2 linked regions of the Struthio camelus genome follow. The protein of the gene in region 2 interacts with the protein of the main gene of each other region in a pairwise test. Links are inferred from orthologs where the notes say so. Each region holds a gene or a part of one and is shown on either strand. Other genes may lie near its edges.

Region 1 (3,898 bases), on a different chromosome or scaffold from region 2:
GCCACCAGCAAATAACCAAGGAAGAGGAGGACTTGGAGAGCCACCGCACAGAAGCTCAAGTCTTTCCTGAAGAGGTTTTCTCCCCCCGAACCTCTTCCCTGAATTAAAGGGGAATTGGCCAAGTGATGTGTCCAAGCCGTTCCATCCCTCTTCGCTCACCATGTACAGAGAGGACAGCTCTGCCCAGCCAAAGGGGCCCAAAATGTGTTTCTAGGACAAGCACCAGGCTCAAAAGCAATTCTTGCATCCCTGCAAGGATGCCTTGGAAACCATTAAAAATGGCACAAAGTTCACCTTCGCTCCACCACATCCCCTGTTTCTCTTGAGCAAGTCCGTCGTGGGCCAGGCAGTGGGCGGTTGCATGTTTTCGCTCTTGCACAACCTACCCAGCAGCTCTGTGCCCGGGCGGCCCAACTTCCCGGGCTGGTAGAGCCCCGGGGCTGTTACAGTAACTCCAATGCCTCGTAACAGCTTTTCTGCAAAGCCTGGCTGCAAATCGGCATGGGGGAAGGGGTGATTTGCCAAGAGAGGCTAGGGCAGAGCAGCAGGCCCTGAGGGCAAGGAGATTTTTAACAGAAGAGGATGGAGAGAAGGAGACAGACCCAGAACTCAAGGATTCAAGCCTTGAACTGCAGGAATGTGGCCATGGCCTGATAAAAGGGTTTGGCAGAGGGCAGATGCTCTCTGAGGGACCCCAGAGAGCTTCTCCAAGCACCAATGTTCAGCACCCCAGCTGCCCCCTGGGTCTCTGCTGGGCTCCTGGCCCCATGGCTGGGCTCACCTTGACGTGCCTGTCATCAGCAGTGGTCTCATCAAACTCCTCGCCCAGCTTGAAGCTGATCTCTGTGTTTTTGAAGGTGCTCTGGGTCTTCAGGGTGATCTTGTCGCCGCTCACTTCGATGATGGTGGTGGGTTTGGTGAGGCCCGCCACCTGCCTCGTGGCAAAGCCCACACCTGCAGGGTGCAAGGGAGCGGTGAGGCCACGCGGAGGGGCTAGAGAGGGTGCATCCCCATCATCGTCCCTGCCCTTCAGCAGCCCCCAGACCTTCCTTCCTCCCTGCAGCCTCCCCGTGTCTTGCTGGCTGCCGTGGGGGCTGGAGGGCAGCTGGATGTGCAGCTGGGATCACTCAGGGCCAGATCCTGCACCCAGAAACACCATTCTCCAGCCACAGACCAGCTTTTGGGGCTGAGCAGGATCCAAGACAGGTAGTGTCCCCTGGCCTCTGTAGTACCCTGGGGCCACTCAGAAGGAGCCACAGCCGGTGCCAGGGACCAGGCTGGATGATGTGGGGTGAGAAGGAGGGATGAAGGATGGAGGAGAGCAGAGGCACTGCATTCACTCACTCTGCAGTGAGCAGCTCTGCAGTCCTCTCCCTCCACCCTATCATCCTTGGCCCTGAAATGGGGGGGGGGGGGGGAAGGCTGTCCCCACCCACTGGCTTCTGGGAAGAGCTGGAGATGCATGTCCCTCCCGAGGGCAGGGAGCCAGGCAGTGGGCACACTCCTTCCCGGGCAAGGCAGCCATCTCCTGCCCCTCGCCTGCTTTCCCAGGACCAGGGACCTCACCCGGCTTCAAACAAGTGCCCGGCAGCGAGGATCATCCTCATCACCAGAGATGGCCGAGATTCCCTCCCACCCTGTCCCCACCCGTGTTGCCCCCTGGCAAAAGCCGAGCCCCGTTTCCCGGCCGCAGCACCGCGGGGCGCCGGGCGGGGCCGCGGGGACACCGCACACCCATGCGGAGCGCCAGCGCCCGGCTCGCCGCAAGCCCCGGCTCCCCCGCATCGCCCCTGCCCGCCGCAAACCCAGCCCTGTCAAAACAGCATTCCCCCCCCCCTTCTTTACACCCATTAAAAAGGCAGACAGCCATCCTCCTCCTCACTTGCAGGCGCCGCAGCGCTAAAAGCCCTTTGTGCGGTCCTGGCTACTCGGGAGGTGAAATACAAAGGGGGGGGAAATGAAGAAAGAAAGAGAAAGAGAGCGGAGCGATCTCACGGCTTCAGCGCGCCCGGCGCAGGGGCGGCCGCCGCCCCCGGCTCCCCCCGCCGCCGCCGCCGCCCGCGCTCACCCAGCGCCTTCATGTACTCATCGAAATTAGCCGAGTCCACCAGCTTCCAGGTGCCGACGAAGGCTTCGACCATGGTGAAGGCGAGCGGGCTTGCGAGGCGGGGACGGCGCCGCCGAGCCACAGGGCTGCTGCCGGCTCCGCAGCCGCCTTAAATAGCGGCGCCGTCACATGATTGCGGCGGGCGGCTCCGGCGGGCGCTGCCGGCCCCGGCCCCGGCCCCGGCCCCGGCCCCGGCCCCGGCCCCGGCCCCGGCCCCGCTGGCTGCCGCGCCCTGCCCCGCGGGCCGGTGCCACCCGCGCCGGCGCCCGCGCGACTCTCCGCTCTGCTCCGCGCGCGCGCGTGCGTGTGCAAGGACACGCGCGATCCCACCCTGCGGGGGACACGCGCGTGGCGACGGCGGGGCACGCAGCGCTGGGGCCGCTTGGTGCGACGGTCGGTCGGGGCGCGAGGGGCTGCCGTGGCGCCGGCCCGTACGGCCCTGCCCTGGGAGGTGCGCGTCCGCCAGCGCCCGTAACCCCTTCCTCCGCCTCTGCCTTTCCCAGCGCCTCTGCCCCGCTTGCCTTCGCGCCCGCGGGATGCGCCAGGCGGCCCGCGCCCGCGGCGGAGCGGCGGCGTGAGCGTGGCTTTGCTGAGCGCAGCCCAAACGTGCACTCAGCGTGTGCTGCCTCCTTCTGCCCCTGGTACCCTGGAGCCCACGCGGCTCCTCAGCATCTCTCGCCAACGCCGATTTGGACGACAAAAATCCCTGGTATGCACCAGGGGAAGTGGCAGAGCAGAGGGGTGGCAGGGCCAGGAGGCCCTTTGGCACAGGGGACCTCCAACGTGCCTCCCTGTGAGCTTGGCTCGTGGGGACCCTGGGGCTCAGGGGACAAGAGCTTTTGGGGGGGTCAGTCCCAGCCTCCTCGCACCTCCCCGCACTTTGGGGTCGGGGAGGAGATGGCGGCAGTGAGGACGGCGATGCCCCTTCTCGGCTGTTACTCTTTAACACCTTTAGGACGAGAAGAAGCTGATTAGGCAGAACGGCTGCTCCACCGGCAACCGAAGCCTCTCCGCCTGGACTTAGCCCCGTGGCAGCACCCCGGGCACGGTGGGACGCCGGCAGGCAGGGTGCCCCGGCTGCGCGGCCCCGTCATTCCCTGCCAGGCCCCAGTGCCTGTCCCTGAGCTCGCCCAGCCCAACCGCCCGCCGGGGGCCAGCACCCATCCTGCCGGGCTGCGGGAGCACGTGCCCGCGAGGGCTGAGCACTGGCCGGGGGGTGGAGGGGGGAGGACTGGATAAAATAGCAGCTGGTGCGCGCCGTCAGCTGCCCGCCCGCCCCTAACCTTTCCTCTGCTTCGGGCTCTTGTTGCAGCGGGGCCGTTCCCGGCGGGCTCGGCGCCCGCGGGAAACAGCTGAGGCAGTGGGATATAACGGCCCCTGGTCCACTGGGCACCCGGCTCTGGCCCGGCCCCCGCGTCGCGCCCACCGTCAGCCTCCTCCTGCCGCCCCGGGATTGCGATGCAGGCGGGGCGGAAAGGGCACGGGGCAGAGCCACGCTGATGGGGGCGGCCGGTCCCGTCGCGGGTTGCTGCTGCCTTTGGGCCAAGGGGCTGGGGCACATCTACAGACGGGGGTCAGGCGCCTCTTGCCCTATTTCAGTTAATGGGAGTTTGGCCCTTGAGCAGCCGGTTCTCCTTGCGCACGGCTGTCGTGCTCAGGAGCCCTTGCCCAGGACCTCAGGGCCTTTCTCTTGTGAGCATCCAGCTCAAGGTGAAATAGGTGCAGGAGAGACCCAAGGGACACCCTCTCCCTGGCCCCGAGCTGTCATTGCAGACACCCAAAAATAGCTGG
Region 2 (3,898 bases):
TGCCCGCGGCTCCCCACCGGCCCCCCGCACCCCGCCGGGGGAGGCCCCGAGCCTCGGGCCGGCTGGCAGGGGTGCAAACGGGAGCCACAAAACCGGTCGCCAACCCCGTGCGTCCGTGGTGGTGGTGGTGGTGGTGGTGGAGGGGGGGGTGTTGTGTGTGTGTGTGTGCGCTGCCAGCTGCGCGGCAGCGGTGTGCCCGCCCGCCGGTGCTGGGCGGTCAGCGCGTGTCAGCCGGGGGGGGCCCGCCAGTCAGCCAGCCGGGGGGGGGCCGCCAGTCAGTCAGCCGGGGGGGGGCCCGCCAGTCAGCCAGCCGGGGGGGGGGCCCGCCAGTCAGCCAGCCGGGGGGGGGGCCCGCCAGTCAGCCAGCCGGGGGGGGGGGCCCGCCAGTCAGCCAGCCGGGGGGGGGCCGCCAGTCAGTCAGCCGGGGGGGGGGGGGCCCGCCAGTCAGCCAGCCGGGGGGGGCCCGCCAGTCAGCCAGCCGGGGGGGGGCCCACCAGTCAGCCAGCCGGGGGGGCCCGCCAGTCAGCCAGCCGGGGGGGGGGCCCGCCAGTCAGTCAGCCGGGGGGGGGGCCCGCCGGTCAGCCAGCCGGGGGGGGGCCCGCCAGTCAGCCAGCCAGGGGGGGGGGCCCGCCAGTCAGTCAGCCGGGGGGGGGGCCCGCCGGTCAGTCAGCCGGGGGGGGGGCCCGCCGGTCAGCCAGCCGGGGGGGGGCCCGCCAGTCAGCCAGCCGGGGGGGGGGGCCCGCCAGTCAGTCAGCCGGGGGGGGGGCCCGCCGGTCAGTCAGCCGGGGGGGGGGGCCGCCAGTCAGCCAGCCGGGGGGGGGCCCGCCAGTCAGCCAGCCGGGGGGGGGGGCCCGCCAGTCAGTCAGCCGGGGGGGGGGCCCGCCAGTCAGTCAGCCGGGGGGGGGGCCGCCAGTCAGCCAGCCGGGGGGGGCCCGCCAGGCGGAGGGCGCCGCCGTGCCCCGCACCCTCGCACATGCTCACTGGGGCGCCGCGGGAGTCTGGGCATGTGCAGAGCGGGCAGGGCCGCTCCCGCCCCCCCCGGGGCTCCGTGCGCCGCCGCCCGCCCGCCCGCTCCCAGGTGAAGCCGCGCTAGGTGGGGCGGAGCGGGGCAGCCGGTCGCCGGCGGCGGCGGCAGGATGAACAGCTCCGACGAGGAGAAGCAGCTGGAGCTCCTCACCAGCCTCAAGGACCAGGGTACGGCAGGCAGCGCCGGGCGGGCGCCGCCCTGTAGCTGCTGCTGCTGCTGCCGCCGCGGCGGCGGGGCCGGCGGGACCGCGGCGGGGCGGGGCGGCGTGAGGCGAGGGCTGCGCGGGCGGCGGAGAGCGGCGCGGGCGGGCGCGGCAGGGCCGCGGCGCTCGGCAGGGCCGCGGGCAGCGCGGGGGCCGCGGCTGCCGAGGCCCGGCCGCCTCCCGGTCCGGCCCCGCCGTCGGGTGTTGCCTCGTTTCCAGGTCCCTGTCTCTGTGCGGGCGGGGCAGGACCCCCCCCCCCCTTTTATTTTATTTTTTTTTGTTTAATTATTTAAAAAAAAAAAAAGGAGTTGAAACGTTTTGGCTCTTCCCCTTGTCGGTGCTCGTTCCTGGGCAGCTCCCCGCACCTGCTCTGCTTCTCTGCTGCTGCAGCTAGGTCGGCGCTGGCGTCGAGGTGACCGCGCGTGAATTTGGGCCGATGGGATGGCCGGGTGTTGCAGCGGGTGAGCTGTGAGCGCTGGTAGCCCAGGTGCCGCTCCCTCGAGCGCAGGCTAGCCTTTGCGCTGGGAAAAGGTGTGTGACTAACCCGTGGTGTTAATCCTGCTGTCAGTGAACGGGAGCGGATAGTGGTGAACCTGGATACCCGTCCTCTGTGCGCCTCTTAGGCACACGGTCTTGAGCAGAAACGCTGGCCAGCTCCGAGAGGTAAAAGTCCATCTGTCTAGTGGTCTTCCCGTGGAAGGCAAATTTTATATGAAGTTCCTTATTGTTTCTGAGCTAACTTCACCTCCGTTTTCCTATTGTGTGTTGTTAGATGTGATATCACCTACCCGTTAAATCCTCTCTATTCCGCTCCTTGTGGGTGTGCAGACTTCCCAGCAAGAGGTCAGGGTTAGCCCCGATATGCCATAGGCTTCTGCGGAGTCTGTGTAACTTCCAGTTAAATGAAATAAAGCATTTTGATTTGGTTCCGCTTCTGAGTCTGTATCTGGGGCTTTTGTAGAAAAGTCCAATGCTTCTACTTCATAGGTGTTCAGCTCCTTTAGAAAACTTAAAACAACGTAATGTTTCATGTTCTGCGAGAAGGGACTTGAGAAAGGGCTTGGATGTTCCAAAAGGTACCCTGCTTTTCTAACGCTACTGGTCAGGGTATTCCCAAGCCAGGCTGGTCTAACAAAGTTGCTACATTCATTCCTTGTCTAGTAAAGAGGTAGACGACATTCAAAGGGCCAGCATGTTACCAGCTATTTGAGTTGTAGGCACGTATCTGTAGATGTGTGCCAGCATACCTCCTGTCTCACAGCTTCATACGCGGTAGGCACGAAATACCGGCCCTGTGTGGCTGATGCTACAGCTCCCACAGCGGTGTGCCTGTGGTCCTTGTGGAACCTGGGAAGGGCTCTGTTTTGAAAGGGTGCAAACTTTTAATGGGGAGATCGAAATTACTGGCGTGTGGTGGTGGATCAATACCCCTTTTCTGTGGTTCATTCTGACTATAAACTCATTCAGTCGTCTTTGCTGTGCAGCAGGAGCTTTCCTTAACCAATAGTTGAATACTTATGATCGCCTGTCTTGGCACTTCTTTCTTCTTTGTTCCTGGCACATTCAGCAGTGTGATTTCGTGATTATCTGCTGCCCCTGCTAGATTCTGACTTTTAATGATTGCGGTCAGTGTAAAACTTACCATGATCGCATAGCTGTGTGCTTCGATAACGCAGGACCAAAAAATGAGGCTAAAAATCTAGTTTTGCTGATAGGCCTGACTACTTGCCACTGGTACTGTTGGCTCCAAAAGAGTGGTTTGTGCCAAAATGACAGTTGCTGAAGTGTCAACAAGCAGTTGCTAAAATGGAAAGTTTGGATTACTTTTCACAGAAATCCTAGCCTCCTTCAAACTGGTTGGAAGTTTTTTATTGTCTTCAGTAGGACTAAGGTTTCAGTTTTGATATCTGGAAGTCTTCTGTCCAAATAGTCATAGTATCCTTTAATGTCTAATGAAGTTTATGACACGCTAGGAATTAGTTCAAGGAAAAGATACTGTAACTCAAGTACCAGCTGTCCTAGATCCACTTAAGCTGTTGAAATAGAAACTGTAACAGGCAGATTGTGTCCTGTAAAGCTTTGTTCTTGATACGTTTTTGCCCTAAATGTAGACGTTTTTAGTATGCTGTTACGAGACCACCCAATGTTTTCATAATTTTATGGCCTGCTAGAAGGTTGATTTTTATGATGAAAAAATTATCGCGTGAAAAACTTTTGAAAATACTTACTCCTCTGTGTTCTGTTTTTGCATCTGAAATAATGCAGTATTATGGTAGGACACTATAGTTAAATTATGCTAACTGACAAGTCCCAAGTCCGTGAACTGTCCAGAATAAAAAGCCTAAGTGATGAAAAGGTAATGAGATGCTTAAAGTTATCCTAACAAGAATGATCTAAATATTGTTACGACAGTTAGGTAAGTTTACTTCCTTTTTACGTATTTTAAGCTTGAATGTACAGTTCAGCCTCCGTTGATATTGATGACAAGATAAGAGGAAGGTATTTTAGATACTAACAACTTTCCTCAAATAATTTTAGGACGCGCAGTAAAGCATAAGCAGCGTCTAAGGAGAGGGGGAAAAAAAAAACAACCCTGCTTCTAGTCTTTTTCTTCTTTACTCTTTCTAGTGTAGGTAATAGTATTACCCTGAAGGTAAATGGAGTTGATG

Evidence for each region.
Region 1: the proteins of SHTN1 (region 2) and FABP3 interact in binary tests that used the Homo sapiens proteins (3 or more experiments, as listed by UniProt). The two-hybrid records come from large-scale screens. The link is inferred for Struthio camelus from reciprocal best matches to the Homo sapiens genes SHTN1 and FABP3.

What each region holds. Positions count from the first base shown.
Region 1 is NC_090964.1:4,624,102-4,627,999, reverse strand, and holds the start of FABP3 (fatty acid-binding protein, heart), read right to left. Parts: upstream 2,278-3,898; 5' UTR 2,142-2,277; coding exon 2,069-2,141; intron 955-2,068; coding exon 782-954; intron 1-781. UniProt on the Homo sapiens protein: FABPs are thought to play a role in the intracellular transport of long-chain fatty acids and their acyl-CoA esters.
Region 2 is NC_090948.1:8,623,445-8,627,342, forward strand, and holds the start of SHTN1 (shootin-1), read left to right. Parts: upstream 1-990; 5' UTR 991-1,136; coding exon 1,137-1,194; intron 1,195-1,649; exon of another isoform or gene 1,650-1,892; intron 1,893-3,898. UniProt on the Homo sapiens protein: Involved in the generation of internal asymmetric signals required for neuronal polarization and neurite outgrowth.